4 separate regions of the Mus musculus genome follow, and regions 2, 3 and 4 are each reported to be linked to region 1. Evidence: microRNA targets listed by miRTarBase, many of them from high-throughput screens and not tested one by one. Region 1 holds a microRNA gene; each other region holds the end of a gene's coding sequence.

The links. Region 1 holds the annotated microRNA mmu-miR-453 (AGGUUGCCUCAUAGUGAGCUUGCA, at 2,717-2,740, shown strand). A microRNA usually pairs through its seed, bases 2 to 8, with sites in the 3' UTR of a target mRNA and lowers its output. Matches are read on the target gene's strand: a 7mer-m8 pairs with bases 2 to 8, a 7mer-A1 pairs with bases 2 to 7 and ends in A, and an 8mer does both.
Region 2: miRTarBase lists Polr2l as a target of mmu-miR-453. Seed matches in the 3' UTR shown: 7mer-A1 at 2,095-2,101.
Region 3: miRTarBase lists Stxbp2 as a target of mmu-miR-453. Seed matches in the 3' UTR shown: 7mer-A1 at 1,534-1,540.
Region 4: the mRNA of Foxr1 is a reported target of mmu-miR-453. Seed matches in the 3' UTR shown: 7mer-A1 at 4,025-4,031.

The regions. Positions count from the first base shown.
Region 1 is chr12:109,732,953-109,738,574 of GRCm38, forward strand. Mir453 (microRNA 453) reads left to right here and starts at 2,667; the gene lies at 2,667-2,748. It overlaps Mir382 (microRNA 382), which reads left to right and starts at 819; the gene lies at 819-894. It overlaps Mir134 (microRNA 134), which reads left to right and starts at 1,187; the gene lies at 1,187-1,257. Mir668 (microRNA 668) reads left to right here and starts at 1,780; the gene lies at 1,780-1,845. It also overlaps Mir485, Mirg and Mir154.
Region 2 is chr7:141,468,431-141,474,052 of GRCm38, reverse strand. Polr2l (polymerase (RNA) II (DNA directed) polypeptide L) reads left to right here. Exons shown (of 2, transcript NM_025593.1): 2 at 649-2,193. The coding sequence ends at 757. It overlaps Cd151 (CD151 antigen), which reads right to left. Exons shown (of 8, transcript NM_001111049.1): 2 at 5,507-5,622; 3 at 4,708-4,798; 4 at 4,396-4,587; 5 at 4,042-4,116; 6 at 3,828-3,932; 7 at 3,585-3,743; 8 at 2,572-3,502. The coding sequence starts at 4,791. The coding sequence ends at 3,356. Among named protein-coding and RNA genes, the nearest start is that of Gm10575, 3.5 kb to the right of the region's middle.
Region 3 is chr8:3,641,976-3,647,597 of GRCm38, forward strand. It overlaps Stxbp2 (syntaxin binding protein 2), which reads left to right. Exons shown (of 19, transcript NM_011503.5): 18 at 1-80; 19 at 671-2,023. The coding sequence ends at 756. Among named protein-coding and RNA genes, the nearest start is that of Retn, 11 kb to the right of the region's middle.
Region 4 is chr9:44,430,292-44,435,913 of GRCm38, forward strand. It overlaps Foxr1 (forkhead box R1), which reads right to left. Exons shown (of 5, transcript NM_001033469.2): 3 at 5,568-5,622; 4 at 5,132-5,290; 5 at 3,943-5,018. The coding sequence ends at 4,886. Among named protein-coding and RNA genes, the nearest start is that of Foxr1, 7.8 kb to the right of the region's middle.

The DNA.
Region 1 (5,622 bases):
GTAGGAAATAAGATGAATACTTTCCATGTCCTCAGGAGAGAGCCAGGTTTCCATCACGGTGAAAGGTGGGGCCATGGAAAAGAAGTGAAGCCCCAAGGGACTTTGCTAGTGAAATATGTTTTATGAAACCATGGAGGCAGGTGGGACACGGAAGGGTGAGAGATGGGTTCTTACTAGGGCTTTGGGAAGCTATCCTAAGGAAGCTTCCTAGTGGCGAGCCACTAGAATCTGGAAATGCTAACTGGTCCTTCTCGTGCAAGGTTGCTTGTAGGAGTTGGTTACGCCATTTGTGATGGTCTTCTTCTTCTTCTTGAAACTGATTTCTTAGAGATGAGACAGTGGGAGTGGAGGATCACCTGGGATCATGTAGAGCTCAATGAACCTTCTCTTGATTCATATGAGGATGCTAGTAGCCTTGGTTGGGCTTTTCTGCAGTGGGACTTTTATAGTCCCCTCAGGACCTTGATGTGACTAACCATATGTGCACCATTGAGAAATGCAAGTCCCCATTCACATACCCCAGGGTCTATATACCTGCAGAGGACTTCTGACCTACAGCAAGTGGGCTCCCTTCTCATCTTGAAAACCTTCCAGTGTGAACTCTAGAACCAAGGAAGACAGAGAAAGGGGACAATGTCAGCATCGTTGCAAGGGAGGTGAGTGACCACCCCTGCCCCACTCCAGTGTGTTTCTAGAGCACTTGCCCCCACCTCACTAACACTCAGCATCCAATCTGCCTGCAGGTTGGTGGTTGGAAACCATAGCCCTTGGAGAAATGGAAGGGGCCCTTTGTCTGTCTTGTCTCTGCTTTTCTGTGGTACTTGAAGAGAAGTTGTTCGTGGTGGATTCGCTTTACTTGTGACGAATCATTCACGGACAACACTTTTTTCAGTACCAAATGCTACCTCTAAGGATTTCCTGGACATGATGGCAACTTGCAGAAAGATGGCGGTTCAGTCAAGCTGGTAGAGAAGCCAAGTATGGATGTTTGGCCACGGACAGTGTGCTTGAGCTAGCTGTAAGTCACCTGGTCGGGTTACCTGAGCATCTGATCCACCTGTAGGCCTCTCATCAGTGGGCCGTGCCAACCTTGGTGAGGCAGCTGTGGCTCTGCCCCCAAGTATCAGCTTACAAGACTTTGAAAAGAGGTCATCTTCCGGAAGAGATGTTGGTGCCAGCACCATTCAGGGTGTGTGACTGGTTGACCAGAGGGGCGTGCACTCTGTTCACCCTGTGGGCCACCTAGTCACCAACCCTCAGCATCAATTCCACTCAAAGAAGACTTTCCAGAGATCCTACCAAGTTTGGGGATATGTCAATGGACTTGATGGCTGTGCCTGCTCAGTGGACCAGGATGAACTGTGGTCTTAGGGGTGTATGTTTACATAAGATGCCATGAGGCATCCGTGGTAGCTGCTGCATCACTGTCACAGCCTCCTTGAAATGTTGACTTCAGATGTGGACATGATGTTGACTTCCCATGAGGGACCTGAAGTCCCTTCTCTCCTGGGTGTGTGACTGAATTGTACTTTACTAAGCATGTGCCTGTGCCTTACTTATCTGATGGATCTATCTTCCAGTTGTCTAACCTCAATATCCTGTCTCTACAGGAGAGTCTGTGAGATGATACCAACCTCTAGAAGCAGGCATGGTTGTCCCGACATCGCCACACTACCACAGGAGCTTCCAGAATACATTCTCTTCATGGAAACTGTGGAACCACGCCCCCTCTGGTCCAGGAGGACTAACCAGATTCAAGGCTATCACCATCCCCCTTCAGGTAAGTGTGCCTCGGGTGAGCATGCACTTAATGTAGGTGTATGTCACTCGGCTCGGCCCACTACCCAATGCTGTCCCACCCCTTCTTCACAGGACAGTGGAAGCAGCCACCTTTTCGAGAGAGTCGATGTGTTCTTCACCAGTGTTCTTCGCCAGTGATCATGTGTGATACTTGGAGAGAGGCTGGCCGTGATGAATTCGATTCATCTAAACGAGTCATACACGGCTCTCCTCTCTTCTAGTGTCAAACTCTGCCTCAGAGGTCTTCTCAAGCCACTACTGTTCCCAAGGTGGGTTTCTGGATGGCTAAACCCATGTCAAGTGCCTTTATCCAATTGTATATTTCACACAGTTATCCCAGTGTCCAAGCTAACCCACACACGACTTCCTAGGACATTTCTGATTTTTTGGAAAGACCAGAGACACTGTTGGGAGATTCTGTTTAAATGTTTAAACATACTGGCTGGCTTCTGTTTTGGTTAGTACCTAATTCTACCATGGAAGAACAACTAGAAGCAGCCTTGGCTAGTTAACCTTCAGGATACAGACTAGAATGGGACCCGGAACATTGTGAGCCTGTGTTGAGTTATCTGTAGCCATTCCATACCCTGAAGTGAAGTCTCTGAAGATGAGCTCAGCTTCACCCAGCATCCCCAGGACAACCTGCCTTGCAAACTTGTGTTTGCTGTGGGTATGGCTCTGCCACCTTTGACTTAGTAAACATTGCATGACGAGTCAAAAATCACCTTCCTCTTGGCGCTTATTTGGGGCCCATAAACCAGAGGTTGGCCAGAGAGCATGGGTCTGATTGGGACTTAAGCCACTTGGTTCACTTATTCTCAGAGTCCTGTCCATTCTGTGTCTACTCCCAAGGTGTCCCCCTGTGAAGAAGATGCAGGAGTGCTGTGAGAAGTGCCATCCCCTGGTACTTGGAGGGAGGTTGCCTCATAGTGAGCTTGCATTATTTAATGATGCCCAATACAGGATAGACCTGTTTTCTGTATCACATCTTACCAGGTGCTTCCTTGGACCTGATATCAATCATGAGGAAGCCACGATCCTGGTGGGGTTTATACCATCGTCCTTGAACATGTGGTTCCTTCCAGTGTCCCCTGACCCCATCCAGTCCCTCCATGGAGGGCATTGTCAGCATTGAGGTAGATACCCATGTTATAAACTTAAGACATGGATGTGGTGGCGCTCATGGTACCTCTGGCTTTTTTTATCTATTTGTAAAGAAAAGTAACAAATTTTGCTCCCCCACGTCTCCACTAGTTAATCTCGTCTTATAGGGAGGACTTAGACCTGTTGAGAAATCCTGGAGTGGGGTCCAGGGGTCAGCATTTTTTGGGGTGGGGATATAAGTGAGTGGTGATTTTCCTTGTCTGTTGGCTGGGATCTCAGAAGAAATTTGAGGACAGTAGAAGAACTATTTTTCATTTCTTCATTTTCTTTGTAAAAGGAGGATTTATTCTACTTATTACTATTTTATTAAAAAGATGTATGCTCGTGATAAAAATAAAAGCAATATGAAACAATTAAATTAAAGAAATTAGAAAAGTTTCTACCCACACATAAATAACTTCAGGAATATCAAACTCCTTTCTGAGACTTATATACAAATGGAAAGGGGAGTAAAGAGAGAAATATTTTACAGGATAAATATTCCCTGTGTCTAATCATTTTATTTCAAATATAAATCATCATTTCACTTGTGCTTAACCTAAGGAACGATGTCAGGAAGACTTTATAGATGTGTCCAAAAAGATCCCAGCCCAGCTGAGAAAGCTTAAGTTGAAAGCATTCAGTAGCTCAATCAGATTTTCTGCTGCTTCTGACTGCTACAAGATATGAAATGCCCCACGACATTGCTTTCTTTACTGTTGCAATGTGTTTTAATTTTTCTGTTGAAAAAAAATGCAAATGTAAGTCTTACAAGTGTTTGAGACGGGTCCTCAGTATTACAAACAGCTTCACTCGTGGCTACTTGTTTGCTTTAAACGGGGGCTTCTATTTCTCAGCTCTTAGTGTATCTCAGTGCAATGAGGATTTTTGTCATTCCTACAAGGATGGCTCCCAGATGCTACCTACCCTTCCTCCCTCTCTGCCCTCTCTCTACTGCCCCCTCTCCTCTTCTTTTTTCTTTTTTCCAAAATGGGGGGTGGTGGGGTGGGGTGGAACTCAGACCTTCACGCACGCACAGAGAAGACCCACTCACTGAGGCATACCCACGCATAGCTTCTGTCCTTGCTCTAATCCATATCCTGGGAACCCTCCAGAATGCCCCCACCCATAGGTCCCTAGGGCAGGGAGAGAGCGTGTTTTGAGTTAAGTTCTCTCTTCCTTAACACAAGGGTCTTCCTTTCTTTCAGATGTAGCTGTGCATTATACACCGACTAGCTTGAGCTGTGGGTGACTGTCTCCCCAGAGTTTTTACACATGTGTGGCGCTTTCCTTATGCAGTCTTGTTACTGGGTTGAGCCTTTAGCTGAACAGTGGGTTAACCTGGGTAGCATTCCTGTGTTCCTTCTCCTTTGCTGTCTGCTGGTCATAGCCTTAGTGTAGCCTGCTTGATACCTGATGTCTGAACTACAGTCCTTCCTCGTTTGTTTGGTTTTTTTTTTTTTTTTTTTTTGGGTTCTAAGACTTTCCTATTGGGCACTGGTGACTTTGCCAGATGATAACCCAGCCAGTGTTTTCCCATCATTTTTTTTTCTCGATTGTAATTTTCATTTCTTCTTTATTAGAGTTAGTTGTAGCCTTTAAAAGACGTTCTCTGCGGTTCTTTTCTTGACTTAAAAGATCCAAATTGTCTGTGTAGTTCTTTAGTCAGTCTCCGCCCCCTACTGCCACCTTCCCTGCATCCCTCTCTGGCATCCTTTGCATCATGAATTTATTTGATTAAAGGTATCAGTTCCCCTTTCCCACTGTTATTTTCCCCCTTGGCAGGATGCCTAATTGCAATGCCAGCTTCTGGGGTGAACATGGACCCACTGTCATCGGGCAAGGTCTAGGATGGACATGGAGACCCACCATCTGGGAGATTCCAGAGTGGACGTGAACCCACCATCATCAGGCAGGTTTTGGGATGGACATGGGCCCACTGTCGTCAGGTAGCTATGTGAACTTACTGTCAACCAAGCAAGTTTTAGTGTTCGTTTCTTTGTTGTCTCATTTTCAGTGGATCATAAGCTAAAAAGTACAACCTATTATTAGGAAAACACCCTGAAAGTTTGCTCACCCCAAGGGACGAGGCCATGACTTGAGTGTCAGTGCCATTTAGTGCTGACCTTACCTTTATAATGAGTATTGCCAAGTCAGCCTCTCTGTGAACTTTTCAGGAAATCCCTAGAAACAAAGCCTATGTAAGGCGAGGGTCATTGGTGTTTGCCTCAATCTCAGTATGAAGCTAGGAACTTTCCACTCCTATGATGAACACAGGATGAAATCTGTGCATCTAGGACCTCCATCACCAGACCCTTGTAAGGACCCTTAGACACTGTATCCTTGGCAGTGGTGCCAAGACTAGATAACCATGGGTGTCAGGGGTTGGGGAGGAATGGGTTGGACCTGGGGTGCGTGATGCCTTCTCAAGCCCTCTCACAGTCAATGCAGTAACCTGCTGTGTTCACTGTGCTTGGGGGACTTCCTGGAGGAAGCCAGCTTCAGAGAAGAGATGCTGGTACCCACGTGCGGTGCTTGAAGATAGGTTATCCGTGTTGCCTTCGCTTTATTCGTGACGAATCATACACGGTTGACCTATTTTTCAGTACCAAATCCCGCCTTGGAGGAATTTCTGGGGTGGGACTGTGGTGTTAGCGTCTTTCCAGGGTAAGTGAAGGG
Region 2 (5,622 bases), not on the chromosome of region 1:
ACTGTTTTTTTTGTTGTTGTTTTGTTTTTCAAGACAGGGTTTCTCTGTGTAGCCCTGGCTGTCCTGAAACTCACTTTGTAGCTCAGGCCGGCCTCGAACTCAGAAATTCACCTGCCTCTGCCTCTACCTCCCAAGTGCTTGGGATTAAAGGTGTGCACCACCACACCCAGCTAGATGGCTCAACTGTTAAGAGCACTGGCTGTTTTGTGTGTTTGGTTGTTTGATTGTTTTTTAAGAGGACTCAGGTTCCGTTCCTTGAAGCAACATGGTATCTCGCAAGTGTCCGTAACTCCTTTGGGCTTTGGGAGCATCAGGCACCCATACACATAAAACGAAATTTTAAAAAACAGGTGTAGGCAGAAGGCTGTTAAGGATGGATACAGGATGCTATGGGAGAAGACTGGCACATGAGCAGGTGTAACTTCTAGGTGGGGAAAGGGTCACCTGGCTCCTCCCTGAGCATCTAGATACATATTTCAGAAATCTCCAGGCCATTTCCCTATGGCCTGGTGTCAGGTTTCAATCGCTGATTATGTAGATGTGCTCTGGTAACCCCTATCCACACGAATACCCAGAGGCAAGCTGGAGGTGGTTCCAAACCTATCCAGACTCTAGAGACCACATCCAGCCTCACTCTTCTCTTTACAGGGATGCCCTGGACGCTCTGGGCCTAAAGCGCTACTGCTGCCGCCGCATGCTGCTAGCACACGTGGACCTGATTGAGAAGCTGCTGAACTATGCACCCCTAGAGAAGTGACCGCTGGAGCCTGCCCTCCTCTGTCTCCTGCTGGCCACGGGCAGCCTGTCGTGCTATGTTCAAACTGAGCTATTGGGGATGTTGGTGTATTGCCTGGCTGTGGCCCTGTGGCTAAGTCCTGTTACCCTGGAAGGAACTGTTTAGTAAAGATGTTTGCAGAACCACCAACAGGTCTAACTTCCAAGGTGCTCCATGTCCATGTCTGTGCTGTCTCTGAGGCTACCTGGCCTGCCTCCAGTCTTTCCCCTAGGGCTGGTCTCCTTCCCCTTCATCTGACTGGGAGTCTCGTCCTGTGGAGGAGTACCCTGCTTCCGTTCCCCGGGGCCTTGACCACTTTGATCAACGAGGTAGCCCTACAGTAGTCTTGTACCACATTGCTTTAGGGCCTCTCCGCTTCCTGCCTGTGTTCAGGATGGGCATAATGGATGTGGGCACCACACCATCCACAGGTATGGATGGGCCCAAGCCTGGTGACAATATTCCTTTGGAATGCTGAGCGTGCTTGGAGGTCCCAATCCTTGTGCTAGGGTTATTATGCATTTGGGTATTTGGTCTGCTTATAAGTCTTTGTATCACTGTGTCCCCACAGAGGCCAGATCCCCTGAGAGTAAAGTTATAGAATGTATAAGCTGCCATCAGGTATTGGGAATCAAACCCAGATTTATTTACCTTTCATTTTCCAAGACAGGGTTTCTCTGTTTGGCCTTGACTATCCTGGAATTCAACTCTGCAGACCAGGCTGGCCTTGAACTAAAGAGATCAGTCTCTGCCTCCCGAGTGTTGAGTTTAAAGGACGGCTTGTGCCACCCAACCAAACCCAGATACTGTAGGAGTACGCCCAAGGCCACAGGCCTCACGAATTTCTTGGGTCCTAAAGCCCATCAGCTGTGTGAGCCTATCTGCTGCCCATGCCTGAGGATCTTGTTTCCAGAATCTTCCCAGGCCCGACAGCTAGGCAGCCCTGCCCCTTGACCCAATCCCCACAGCATGTAGTCCTAAGAAGCCTACTCTAGGCCAAAGGAGGTGGTGTAGTGCTTTAGCTCCTAGGCATCTGCATCAAGTACCCCGGGTTCTTTCTAGCACATTGATCCCTTTGAGAATTTTGGTGGGTTTTTTTGTTTTGTTTTTTGAGACCAGCTTTGGCTGGTTTGAAACTCACAACAGTCAGCCTGCCTTTACCTCTTGGATTCTGGGATTAAAGGTGTGTGTGGCATAGCATACCCACCCTACCCCACCCCTGGTTTTTTGTTGTTTTAAAGAAAAAGGCGGGCTGGTGAGATGGCTCAGTGGGTAAGAGCACCCAACTGCTCTTCCAAAGGTCCAGAGTTCAAATCCCAGCAACCACATGGTGGCTCACAACCATCCGCAACAAGATCCTCTTCTGGAGTGTCTGAAGACAGCAACAGTGTACTTACATATATTAATAAATAAATCTTTAAAAAAAAAAAAAAAAGAAAAAGGCTTTGCCTTAGGCTAGAGTCCAGAGAACCCATAGTGGCCTCCTCCAGCTGGCACAGAAGACTGTGGGGAACAAAATCAGCTTAGGACCTCTTCTCAGCTGCTTAGATGAGCTAAAGCCAGAGAAACAGGAGCCAGGGCATCCCCAACAGGCCCTGGTGCCTCCCTTGCCCTCTGACCCTAGCAAGGCCTACAGACTCTTCCTTGAGCATGGACAAGTCCAGGCCACAGTGGGCTGGGGGGATGTTCCAGCTACCAGTGCTCACCCTAACTGTAATTGCCATTGGGCTTCACCAACCTTGACTCTTGTGAGTACTCCAGCTACCCTGGACCATAAGGTCCTGTCAGCAAGCTGATTCGAGTGCTTATACATTTACATTTATTGAGCACCTGTTACATAGCAGGAGCATTTGTGGGCAGCATCTGGAATACAGCAGTGAGATGAAAACAGCCATGCTCCATTCAGAGATGCTCCAAAAGGAGACAGTGTACAGGAACATGGAGCATTTACATGATGCTATCAGTAGTGAGAAAAGGCCAGGGCTGAGCTGTTAGGAGCAAGAGGCCTGTGTGGAGAGGACAGAGCATCAAGTGTGGGGTTGGAGTTTCCCTCAGCTTACACCATTTGTTTGGGGCAAGCAGATCTGAGAGTTCCTGGTAGCAGGCATGAAGGGTGCCTAATCCAACCAGAAAGGCCCCACCTGCTTTTACCCAACGTGTAGTGGTGTACTCAGGTTCTCCCCAGACTTACTGCAGATCACAGCTACCCAAAGGGAAGCAGTCTGCATAAGAGGCACTTCTGTCAAATAATCTAAACCCTATTCTACTAGCCAGGCCTAGCCCAACACTGGCATTTGAACCCCCCACCCCCCCCCCCCTTCTTAATGCTGGGGCAAGTACGCTGCTTCGAGCTTTGGGACTTTGGTGTGCAGTGAAAGGCACTTGAAGGTGCATGCCCCTGAGGTGGCATGCCAGGGGGGGTCATGGCGATGGCATGAGGGTAGCTACCTCTGGCAGTCAGCAGTCTAAGTCAGTAGTGTTCAGTAGTGGGGCTGGGACATAGTGCAAGGCTGGCCGCCCAGCCTGGCATCATCGTGGTCAGTAGTGCAAGGCTGGCCGCCCGGCCTGACATCATCGTGGTCAGTAGTGTTCCAGCTTGAGGCTTCGGTACAAGCAGCAGGTGAAGATCATGCCGAAGACCTGCACACAGGCGATGCCAATGCCCACCGCCCCAATGACCCGCAGGTGCTCCTGAATGAAGGTCTCCAGCTTAGTGATACAGCCACCCTAGTGGGAGAGAAGGGTGGTGGGCCAGGCTGCCTGAAGACCAGTCCGGCCTAGCCCCGCCCCTTGCTGAGAACCCACCTACCTCCACTTTATAGATGTTGGAGGCATGGTCCCGCTTACCACAGCCAGCTACCATAGTCTTACAGCAGCTGTCAGGAACCACGCGGCTGTCTGCCTCACCAGAGCGGATCCACTCGCTGTCTTGCCAGTCTTGAGAGTTGTTGCTGCCACAACAGTGGAACTACAAGGGGCACATGGCTGAGCCTCAGCGCTTGCCGGCACACGGCACCATGCCGAGAGGGCGGGCAGTTCTAGGGGCACCCACCTCTTGCTGCAGCTTGTCGACAGCGCTGCTCACACCCTCGTGGCCTGACTGGTGGTATCTCTTGACCATGGTGTCCTTCAGATTCTCCTTGAGCTCTGTGTTCAGCTGTGGGTAGGATCAAACTCTGGGCAAAGGCAAAGCTGGAGCCAGGACCTCCAATGGGACTGACAGGGCCATGTTCTAGGCACACCCCATGGCCTGTCCAGGCCCTTACCTGCTGATAATAGACATAGGCCAGGATGCCAGCAATGATCTCCAGGAGGAAGATGATGAGGAGCAGGATGAAGTACTAGGGAGCAGGGACCCAGTAAGTGGGGGGTTGCTAGTGCCAGAGTACCACAAAGCCAAGCCCCCAACCCAGGAGGCCAAGCAAGAGGAATTCAGTTAGGAGCTACACTCTGGGGCTGCCTAGCTCCTTCATAGTTCTGAAGCTCGTGTCTGCCCCAACAGGGACAGCCTGCAGTAATACACTCAACCAGTTAAGTCCCCAGAACCAGTACCAGAGGCCCCCTGAGAAATCCATGCAAGGCACCCCTAGCCCCACCGTGTGCCACCATGCCCCACTGACCAAGCGTAACAGGTTCCGTCGCTCCTTGAAAGTGGCACAGCAGCCCAGGACTCCAGTCACCATGACAACAACACCAGCCACCACTAAGATGTAGGCCGTGGCTAGGTAAGTGCTTGAGGCCAGCAGACTAATGTAGTCACTCTTGAGGGCCAGTGTCCAGATGCCCACTGCCATGACAGCCAGGCCGGCCAGCTGCAGAAAGTATATACTGGTCACCACATCTGGCCTGGGTCTGGAAGCTGGGACTGAGCCCCCCAGGCCAGGCCTCCAACATGGGGACTAGGGATGCAGGGAGAAATTAGCTCTTCTCACCCAGAAGCAGCAGTTGTAGGTAAAGAGCAGGTACTTGAGGCAGACTGTGCCACATGTTGCCTTCTTCTCATTGAATTCACCCATCCTGGGCCTAGAGGAACGGGGAGGAGGTCAGATGGCCTGAAGCACCAGGCCTCCAAGTAGGAAGAAAGCTATCTACCAACGGAGACAGGAGGAGATCCAGCAGTCCCCGGATGATTGCAGTTTGGAGCTCAGCCAGCTATCTGCCCTCAGAGGAGCATTCCCAGGAACCTTATGAGTCACTTCCTGAACTAACCTCCTCACAGCCAGACACATGGTGGGTTATCATGGAGGACCCCCCAACATCTGCTGACTCACTCCTGCTGGCAACAGGGGGGGAAGCACCAGCAGACCTTCAGGGTACATTCCTGTTGATCGGCACCCCCAAGCATTCCCTGAGTCCCACAATCAGGCTGCTAGGTACTTACCACTCATACCCGTTCCCAGATATGGCAGAGAGCTCAGGCCACCCTAAGGGACAGTTTGTGAGGACTCTGAGCTGACTCTACTACCAGCCAGGGCAGAGACAATAAGATGCCGGTAGGTGGAGCCTGTACAACCAGCTCTCCTCCCGACTGTAGGGGGAGGTCCCAGTTCCACATATGTGAATGTGCCACTCCTCCAGGAGTCCCCTAGTCACACCCTGCCCTAGACACACTATTGTCTGACTGAGGACAGTGTACAGACCTCGGCTGACGCAGGTCAGATTCCCAGACACACACCTAAGCAGAACTGTTAGCCAGGGGCCTTGAGGCTCTGCCCAGGCACCAGCTCTCACCTCTCAAGTCAGGACCAGCAGGTACAGGTCAAAAGTCACTCTCTGCCCTTCACCTAGCAGGTGGGATCTTGCCACTCCAACTACAGAAGCTTAAGCAGTGGTCAAAATGGTTCTCA
Region 3 (5,622 bases), not on the chromosome of region 1:
GGGTGGTGTCGCCATGTCGGAAATGAGGGCTGCCTATGAGGTGACCAGGGCCACTGAGGGCAAGTGGGAGGTGCTCATAGGTAAGTAGCCAGAACTGGGGTCCTTGGGAGTATGACTGTGGGGATTCCTGGGGACCAGGGCTGGACATGGGGTCCCTTAGAGTCTGCAGTTAGATTTGTTGTCCTCAAACGCCTAAGATGTGGGGACTTGGGCTTCTCTGGAGCCTGAGCCTAGATTCTGAGTCCTTAAAAGCCCAGGGCTAGAGTCTGGACTCTTTCTCTTGGGGGGGGGGGGGGGTGTCCTGTGCTGGACTCTGTAGTCTATTGAGATCTAAGGCTGAGCTCTGAGGTCCTTATAGGGCCTGCGACTGAGCTCTGGTCTTTGAGGGGCTGGGGCTGAACTCAAAGAATCCCTAAAGGGCTAGGATTAGATTATGAAAGTTCTGGGCTTGGGGGTGGGAATCTGGGGACTTTGAAAGGCTGGGGCTGGAGTCTTCAGTGGAGTAATCACCTGGGGCTGGATACCCCTGTTCCTAAGTTTCTGAACCCCTCAATCATTGAGAAGACAGGGCCCTGGTTTGCAGAAGGGCAGGAGTTTGTTCTCACCAGCCAGGACACGAGTCAGGAGGGAGGGACTCTACCTCCTCCTTTAACCTTCCCCTCCTGCCCAGGCTCTTCTCACATCCTTACTCCAACCCGCTTCCTCGATGACCTCAAGACACTGGATCAGAAGCTGGAGGGTGTGGCCCTGCCCTGACACAGCCCCTTGCCTCTGCCCTCTCCTATTCCAGAGAAATAAACGCTTCCCTTCTGTCTTCCCACCAGGGCTCACCTCATTTTCTTCCCAGAGGGAGCTGTATTGAGCCAGACCTCCCCCTGCGTTTTCACTGTCCTGCCCGAACCTTTCCCCGGCCCCCAGAAGCATCTGTAGCTTTCATTAACGCTGAGAACCTGGGCTGTAGGGTCAGTATTGGCTTGAAGTTTAGGAGGCACTGGCTCTCTTGCTGGGTCCTCCATCCAAACCCAGGCCTGATTTTGGCAGAGGAGATAGAGAGGTGCAGATTAGGGGTTGCCAGGGCTGCAACCCCACTGTCACTAGAGTTCTTTAGGCTGTAAGGTTAGAAATATAGGAAAAATTTTAACCTTTATCTTTATTTTGTGTGTTACACTTGTATGTATGTTTATGCATCATAAGTATCAGTGCCTGTAGAGGTCAGAATAGGGTGTGGGATCCCCTGGAACCAGAGTTATAAATGGTTGTGTGAAGCCATGAAGGTTCTTGAGTCTGCTGTGAGAACAGCTAGTCTCTTACCCACTGATGCATCTCCAGCACCAGAAATAGAAACGGAAATAGAGTAGACCTGAATCCTGACTCTTCCCCGGAACCTCCCAGGAGCTACTGCAAGTAGAACTTGAATCCCCAATTCCAGCAATCAGAGCTAGCATTTAAAATACAGCAAACTTGGGGCTGGTGAGATGGCTCAGCGGGTAAGAGCACTGACTGCTCTTCCAAAGGTCCTGAGTTCAAATCCCAGCAACCACATGGTGGCTCACAACCATCCGTAATGACATCTGACGTCCTCTTCTGGTGTGTCTGAAGACAGTTACAGTGTACTTACATATGATAAATAAATAAATCTTAAAAAAATAAATAAAATACAGCAAACTCTAACACCGGCTTCCTAGTAACCCCCCGCACCCAACCTTAAGATATGCCTGTAGACTCTTAATTGCAGGATTTACCAGAGTTTTTAATGGAGGTATATTTGTTCAGTAGGGTCAACTTATAAACTATTCCTAGGGCCTGGATGGCTCAGAAGTTAAGAGCGTTTCCTGCCCTTACAGGGGCCTGGAATTTGGTTCCCAACACCCAATTTGGGTGACTCAAAACTGACTGTAACTCCAGCTCCAGGGAATTCAGTGCTCTCTCCCGGCTTCAGTGCGAACCCAGATACATGTACACCTCCCCCCAACACACAGCAATAAACAAACAAACAGGTAAATAAATGAATAAAAGCACTTCACTCAGATGGCTTTACAGGAATTTATTATTCCACAGTTCTGGAAGTTTGGTCTTTGCTGGAGGTGTTGATTGGTTTGTAGATAGATACCCTTTATTCAAGAAAGGGTATCCTGTAGTTCCAGGCTGGTCTTGTTAAATAGCTGAGGGTGATTTTGAACTCCTGAGTGTTGGGGTTACAGCTGTGCAGTTGGGGTTGCCACTGTGCAGTTTCTGCAGTGCTGGGGGATGAACACAGTTCTTCATGCATGCTAGGCAGGTACTCTTCCAGCTGAACCACATCTCCACCCCTGCAGCTGGCCATTTCTCTGTGTCCTCACATGGTTGCGTTTTGCAGGTGTCCCAATTTCCTCTTCTTATGTCACCACATACTGGATGAGAGCCCACCCTGTGGCCTCATTTTTTTTTTTAAACTTAATTATCTTTAAAAAGACCTTGTTTCTAAATATATTCATCTTGAGATACAAAGGGTTAGGACAAGATCATCTAACTCTTGGGAACAGATACAATTTAGCCCATAGCATTTGAGTAACAGGAGGTATGGTTCAGTGTGTGAATAAGACAGAGAAGGGACCTTCTTTTTGGGGACACAGCCAGGCAGGTATCACAGGTAAAGAGGATTGGAAGGCATCCCAAAGTGTTTCATCTAGAGGTGGGAATAGGAGTAGAAGGGAATGGGAGGCTCAAGGCTACAAAGCCAAAACCATGGAAGGATGCTACATGGTGCCACATGGTGAGCCAGACAGTTAAGTGCTGCCCATGAACAAGAGCACCGGGATTACAGAGCTCACCCAGCAGTACTGGAAGCCCTGGCCTCTGTCTCTGACTTTAGAATGAGATTTTACAAAGGTCTGAGAACTAGGTGGGACCTGGCAAAGCTGGGTGAAGATTTTGTTACTGATGGGCAGTTGAACACTATGGAAGGATTCAGGGGTTCAGGAGCAGGGAGGCCAAGAAGCCCAGTCCAAGTGTTAGAGTGGCCTGGGCTGGAAGCCAAGCACGGTGCCCCCTGTCATTTGGGTCCTGTCTTTTGGGTCCTGCCTGGGCATGTGAGCCATGCAGAGTTGTGGACACAGCTAGGAGGATCCTTTTGATTTTGAGTTCATCAAAGCCCAGGGAATCTAAAGACATTTCTCAGAAAAGTTGAGAACATGAGGCTTGGGATTCTAATCAGATTGTCCTGAGCACCCCAACTCAAAAAGATCATGAAATTTGGAATGAATGAGTGGGAATAAGGAAATCGTCTGTCACAGCCCCCCCCCCCCCTCAATCCCAACCAGCTGTCCTGGTTTCAGTGCAGAAGGGATGGATGGTAAGTGGAGGGAGACAGAGGGTGATCTTCCTGCTCTGTAGCTCAGGCTAGCCTGGAACTCCCTACCGTTTTACCCCAGGTTCTGAAGTGCTGGAGTTGTCTGGCACGGGAGGTTATTCTAAAGTTTAAATGTAAACTCTAAGATCCCTGGCAGCAAACTGCTGTTTCTCTCTGGGATCTGTTTCCGTATTTCAGCGAGGTGAGCGCCAGGGGATGCTGCGGCCCAGATCGTAACCAGAGCTTGGGTGACCTAATTATTAGAGAAGCCTGGGAAGTGGGCTAAGGATTATTTGATGGTTCTCAGCAGAAACAAAACTGTTGCTTAAACTACTCTCATCTTTCCTTTAAAAAAAAAAAAAGTTAAAAAAATACTCATCACATTGTGTAGTCCTGGCTGGCTGGAACCATGTGGACCAGGCTAGCTAGTGCTGGGATTAAAGGTGTGGCCCACCCATCCCGACCGAATCTGATGATACCGACATGAAGGATGAGTCTGTCTTGGGGTTACTACCGCTGTGATGGAATATGACCAAATGCAGTTTGGAGAGGAAAGGGCTTATTTCACTCAGTTCCATATAAGAGTTCATTCATCACCCAAAACAGTGAGGGCAGGAACTCAAGCAGGACGGGAACCTGGAGGTGGAAGCTGGTGAGGCCACAGAGGGCGCTGCTTACTGTGCTTGCTCAACCTGATTTCTTCTAGAAGGCAGTGCCACTCCCTCAAGGGTGGCACCGCCCACAATGGGCAGGGCCTTCCCAGGCTTGCCTACAGCCTAATAGAGGCATTTTCTCAGTTGAGCCTCCTTTTTCTGATGACTCTAGCTTGTCTCAAGCAGACATAAAACTAGCCGGCACAGTGTCTATACTACCAAACACAAATGTTGATTGTGCAAGCATTTATTGCTCTCTGTGGCTACTGTCATCAGCTGAGATCTTGGCAAACCTCCCACATTACAAAGAATCTTTAAGACCCTCTTTATAAGAATAAAATGTCCATCCTTGCTTTCTGTGTTATGTAGGTATACCATTCAGGGAGGCATCCTCTAACCAGTGACACTTTGTTCCTGCCCCAAGGCCTTTGCACCTGCAGCTCTCCCCACCTGTTACCTCCCTTTAGCTCAAGTGTCACCATGTCATCATTACTTGTTACATGTTCTTCGTGGTCCTTTTCCTGACCTGTGGCTTTCTTGGTACCACCATAATGCATCTTCCAGCATCTATTGACCCCCTACCCTTGCCTTCCAGTCTCCCCTAAAACAGGGGCTCAGAACCATGGTATCCATTTTAATTTGATTTAGGGGTTAGTAGCCAGAAAACTGATATGCTTGCTGCATCTTTCCTGTTGCCTCACAACAGGGGACCTGTGTTGTTGTCTCCAGGGATGCTCCTAGCCCTCACTCTCCAGGTAAGATATCAGGCAGGGCTATAGGCATGAATTAACAGTAAAGTGCTCCCCTAGTAAGGGGCTGGGGATGTGGCTCAGAGATAGAGCCTCTGCCTAGGATCCAGTAGTGAGGGTGGGAGTGTGCCTCAGTAGTATAGCATTGGCCTAGCACATTTAAGGCCCTAGATTCAGTCCTTAAACCAGAGAGAGAGAAAGAGAGAGAGAGCCCGCCATTCAATTCTTTATCTAGAACATTTTTGTCTTGTGTGAAATTGCTCAAATCTGAAAACAAGTTGACCAATAGCTCCTTACTGCCAAGAACATTGTGAAAATGTGTCTGGGGTAAGGGGGTGGCCTGATAGAAAGGGAGTGCTTTCTGGGGCAAGGATGACAGCACCAGGGCTCAGCGTTAGCAACACTTGGTGGGAGAAGGGAATCATAGGCAGTGGGCTTTCCTAATTGACTGTCCACAGTCTATTCTGTGTATATGTGTGGTGCTTGGGATAGAACGCTGGCACACTATGCAAGAACTTAACCCTGAACCACGGACTCCATCCACTCACTGGGGGATTCTAGGTAGGGACTCTACCCCTGAACCACGGACCCCAGCCCCTCACTGTGCAAAGCTAGGTGGAAGCTCTTCCTTTGAGCCACACCCTAGCCCCTCCCTGGGGCACATCTAGGCCGGACTCTTTCACTGAGACATAGTCCTAGCATTCCACTTTTTTTTTTTTTTTTTGAGGCAGGGTGGTCTGTTTTTTGAACTTGCTAATTCAAGCTAGACTCTCTGGCCAGTCAGCCCTAGGGATCCTCCTGTTTCTGTTCTCCCCAATTAAAGGCACACAGTTGTAGAGGAATTTTAATCATGGATGTTCTGGCAAGGGATTACATTCAGAGACCTTCTAGG
Region 4 (5,622 bases), not on the chromosome of region 1:
TCATGGAACATTGGCCTCTATTCTTAGATTTATTTATTTTTATTTATGAGTACACTGTAGCTGTCTTCAGACACACACCAGAAGAGGGCATCAGACTCCACTACAGATAGTTGTGAGCCACCATGTGGTTGCTGGGAATTGAACTCAGAACCTCTGGAAGAGCAGTTCTGGCTGGCCTAGAACTCAGAGATCCACTTGCCTCTGCTTTCAACATGCTGGGTTTAAAGGCCTTCTACACCACTGCCCAGGTGTACAGCCTTCTACACCACAGCCTCCGCCTGCCTTCTCTCCCTCATCGTTCACAGAATTGCTGGTTAATCTTGACCCTCAGGGAGGATCCACCTTTACTATGAGCCGTACCTTCTGCGGGCAGCTTATTATGAGCAGGGAAGAAGGAAGCTTGCTCTTTGCCTGCTTGCTTGAACTCTCATTGGTAGGTTCAGTCTTTCATTAGCATTAGAGACTAATTCTTCAGGATTGCAGCACATACTGAAGACCACTGGAGACGTCCAGGCACTGAACAACTATTGGATTCTTGGATTCTCTGTTCGTAGACAGCCATTGTTGGACTAGCAGGACAACTGCCTGTAAAGCCACTCTAATAAATTCCCTTCATAATCATGTGCCAACATGCATGGCTCCTTGTTTTTGACAGGGTCTGTGCAGCCCTGACAGATCTGGAATTTACTGAGATCCACCCGTCTCTGCCTCCACCTCCTGAGTGTTGCCTTTAATTGGGTCTTACTGTGTAGGTCAGGCTGGTCTGGAACTTGCTACCTAGTCAACTTTATTACTTTTAACTGAAAACAGCCCTTGATGCCTCAGCTCTTAAGAGTAGTCTCCAGCTTCCCCTTCTCTTGCTCATCATTCGAGGAATTGCTGGTTGACCTTGAACCTTAGAGGTGAGCACCAGGAGCTTCCTTGTCCAGATCTCAATGCCTCACCTTTATGGCTGTGACTTCCTGATTCCATTTCCTCTGCTTTGGACACCTTCTACTTCCTACCTACCTAACCATCTTCCATTCAAATACTATCTCCTGGCCAGGAGTGCAGAGGCAAGATGGCCATGAGTTCTAGACTATCCTTGGCTACACAGTCAATTTAAGGTTATTCTTGGCTAATGAGCTTTAAAGCAAACATACAAAAGACTGGGCATGGTGGCACATGCCTTTAATCCTAACACTCAGGAGGTCAGCCCGGCCTATATAACAAGTTCTAAGCTAACAAGGGACACATGGTAAGGTTGTCTGGTGTGTGTGTGTGTGTGTGTGTGTGTGTCAAATGAAATGGCTCAGTGGTTAAGAGCACTGCCCAAAGACCTGGGTTTAATTCCTGGTACCCACATGGCAGCTCACATGTCAGATCCAGGAGATCTGACACCTTCACACAGAAATAAGTAGAACTAAATAAATCATTGAAAAATGAACGAGGGGCTGGTGAGATGGCTCAGTGGTTAAGGGCACCCGACTGCTCTTCCAAAGGTCCGAAGTTCAAATCCCAGCAACCACATGGTGGCTCACAACCACCCGTAATGAGATCTGATGCCCTCTTCTGGTGTATCTGAAGACAACTACAGTGTACTTACATATAATAAATAAATAAATCTTTAAAAAAAAAGAAAGAAAGAAAGAAAAATGAACGAGCACTTCTGCCTTTTTTTTTTTTTAGACAGGGTTTCTCTGTGCAGCCCTGGCTGTCCTGGAACTCACTCTGTAGACCAGGCTGGCCTCGAACTCAGAAATCCACCTGCCTCTGCCTCCCAAGTGCTGGGATTAAAGGCGTGCGCCACCATGCCCGGCTCTTTTTTTTTTTTTTTTTTTTAAAACCAGGTAAACCTCAGGAAAACTGACCTGAGAACAGGAAGGCGGTCACACAGAAGTCTTCAGCTAAAGCTAATTAAAAAAAAAAAAAAAAAAGCAGGGTCCTGATAAAATTACCTTCCCTGACTAATCTGACATAAAAGACCAGGCTAGCTTCAAATTATATAGTGAAGAACAGCCTTGAATTGCTGACCCTCCAGCCTGTTCCTCCTAAATGCTAGGATCACAGGCATTTATCACCGTGAATGGTCTGGCTATTAAAGAGAGAGTGTAACCGGGCATGGTGGCGCACGCCTTTATTCCCAGCACTCGGGAGGCAGAGGCAGGTGGATTTCTGAGTTCGAGGCCAGCCTGGTCTACAGAGTGAGCTCCAGGACAGCCAGGGCTATACAGAGAAACCCTGTCTCGAAAAACCAAAAAAAAAAAAAAAAAGAGAGAGAGAGAGAGTGTGTGTGTGTGTGTGTGTGTGTATGCTTCTGCACTCATACCTCCCTCTAAGCACGGACCCCACCAACTCCCATCTTTCCCACCCTCCTTGTCCCTCTTCATCGGGAAGTGGCCAGATCTGAATCAGTGCTCTTATACCCAGAGGCTGGGATGCTTGGCTGGAACCCCTGCTCATCCCCTGCTCAAGGGAAGAAGAAAGCCCAACTGCTCCCTCCCCAACTCCACTGTAAGAAAACTCTGGGCTACCGAGTCATCTCCCTTTCTCTAAACTCCAAGCTACCCACTTCACCTTATATGGGCATAATCCCAGCCCTAGCCCATAAAACCCCTTTGCCTTTAAGCCCAGCTCATGACTTCTCTGACCTCCACTTGTGAGATCAGTGAACTCACTCCAAAGTTGCCTTTCAATAAACCTTACTTTATACTTATGGTGAGTACACTGTCGATGTCTTAGACACCAGAAGAGGGCATCAGATCCCATTACACATGGTTGCTGTGGTTGCTGGAAATTGAATTCACGACCTCTGGCAGTCAATGCTCTTTACTGCTGAGCCATCCCTCCAGTCCTCTTTATACTTGAGATTCAGCTACAATTGGTTAATTTCATCCATGGAGAAACAAGTCTGTCTGTCTGTTTACCTACCCACCTACCTACCTATCATCTGCCAGCTTCCAGAACTCCTACTTTCACTCTTGGATCTGAATCCCAGTCCCGCTTAGCCTCATCCTCAGAGATCTCACACACACACAGGTGTTGCTGAAGGAGACTTTAATAGGGCACGGCTGATTCATCCTGAAGGTCAAAGAGGAAGGGCATCACATCTGTAAGAGAGTTCAGAGGAGCTTGCAATCTTGACCGGCTCTGTCCCTGGTCTGCTATGCTATCTCACAGAGCTTAAGGCTCCATGGCTACCACTTTTGAAGTCTTTCTGCTTGCTATGGCAGAATCCTCTTAATTGATAAGCCCTCCTACTTTTTACCCAGCTCAAAGGCCATTTGAGCCAGGATTCTGGGCTGTGAGCAGAGCCAGAGGCAACCTCAGTTTCCCTATTCCTTGAACACAATTCCCACTCTCATGGGAGGTCTCATAACTTAGAGGGTCTCAATCACGCCTGTCCTGCTTCCTGCAGAAGTCTTGAGAGTATGATCCAGAAAGGCATCTAGCCTAGAGTCTGGGCCTCGGGTCCCCCACCCCTGTGCTCAGGCATGACAAGGCTTCACACCTGGCTGGCTCATGCACTGTTGGATACTTTGCAGCTGAGTGGAAGCCAAGGTGCGGGCCTCCTTGGAAAAGCGGCGGTGTCCCTCCTCAGTCAACTTCCAGAGGCAGGATCGAGGCCCGGTGCTGGCCTCGACGCCCTGCCGACTGGCCGGCACTTTCTCAAAGCTGTCTCGGAAACTGAGATTGTGACGGACTGTGTTCTTCCAGGCTTCCGGGGCTGTCCGGAAAAAAGGAAAGTGCTCTCTGTGGACAAGGAGGAAGAGTGAAGACAGGTGTGGCACCCCTGAAAAGGACTCACTGGGGTCCTTGTTCTTCCCCAGGGCCAGGAGCCTCAGCTTCCTCTCAGGGGGAAGCAGGACAGGCTGGTCTGGAATTGCTCTTTGCCGGCAGAACCACATCTCAGCCTATGAACCATCGGTTTTTCTTTTTTTTTTAAAGATTTATTTATTTATTATATGTAAGTACACTGTAGCTGACTTCAGAAACACCAGAAGAGGGCAGCAGACCTCATTACTGGTGGTTGTGAGCCACCATGTGGTTGCTGGGATTTGAACTCAGGACCTTCGGAAGAGCAGTTGGCGCTCTTAACCACTGAGCCATCTTGCCAGCCCGAACCATCGTTTTTCTTTTTCCTTCTTTCCATCTTTGAGACAGTCTAATGTAGCCCAGACTGACCGTGAACTCACTGAGCAGCTGAGGATGACCTTAAACCCCTGGCCCTCCTCCTACCTCTGAATCCTGAGTGCTGGGATCACAGGCCTGCACCACCATGCTAGGGCTGAGAAACGTCTTCTTCTAAGCCCAGTATAATATCCCCAGTCTCAGTCTCATTTTCGCCCCTCGCTCGAGGGCTGGAGATTTTGACAGTGGGAACAAAGCAGAACCAAGAATAGGATTAAACCACCCAAGATAAACACTCTGAGACACGGGGCTCTTTGTCTGATACCAGGGAAGACCTCCCTCACACTTATGTATGACTATCAAAGCGAAAGGTTAGCCGGTCATGGTAGCGCATCCTTAATTCCACCACTCAAGAGACAGAGGCAGGTAGATCTCTGATTTTGAAGGCAGCCTGGTTTGCATAGTGAGTTCTAGGACAGCCAGCGCTACACACAGAAACCCTGTCACTTGGGAGGCAGTGGCAAGGAAGGTCTCTGAATTCAAGGCTAGTCCAGTCTATACAGTGAGATTCAAGTCAGCCTGAGCTACAAAGTGAGTCCTTGTCTCAAAAAAAGAGGCCCTAAGTTCAATGATCACACAACACACAGAGACACACACAATGCAAATTCTCAGTGAGGCTTCCATGACCCTTGGAGGTACAAGGTTCTGTGCCAGGCAGGACAGTCTAAGGGGCAGAAAGCGGAGATGTTTTGGGGGATGCTGGATTCTATTCTGGCTAATCTTTGGGGACAGGGTAGGAGAAACTGTAACGACCCAGGAGAATTGGTATTTGAGGGACAGCTGGATTGTAAGTGGCGAAGGGGTAGGAGTGGTTATGTTCTTGAGCGCTGAGTAGGCATATATTTTGCCTGGGGAAATAAAATGAGAAGGGGAAACTGCGTCAGCAGCCCAGGGCCAGGTTGGAAGTTATTAAACCCCGACCCTCCCCTCCCCCTCCTCACAGGGTCCCCTGGGCACATACCGAGTGAAACTGTAGATCTGCTGTACACTGAGGCCACAGGGGGGACTGTTTCTGAGTGCCAAGGCAATCAGATGGAAGTAATGGAGAGGGGGCCGGGACCAGAGCCTCCCCTCTGGGCTGATGGCTTGCGGAAGCCTCCACGGATTCTCGAGTGGAGCCCTTGTGGGAAGGGATGGGAGAGCCAGAGAGGAGCTGTCGTCATAACCCTTGGCGGCCTCCTCTTCTGTAGGCTAGACGGGCACAGAGTAGGATCTGGTCCTGACTCCTCCGCCTCAGCTCCAGTGTGCAGCGGCAAAAAGGGGAGCAGTCTAGAATCCACTATCCAACCTTCTCCCAGCCCCAGGGTCCAGGTCAGGTCTAGACGTGTTCATCTTTTATTGGCCCTCAGAAACCCAGCTGCTGCTGCTGCTTCGCCCCTGTGCCCACCCATCCATACCTCCTCCCAGGTGCTAGGGGAAGAGGCACTGTGCTTCTCCTCTGCTTCCTCTTCT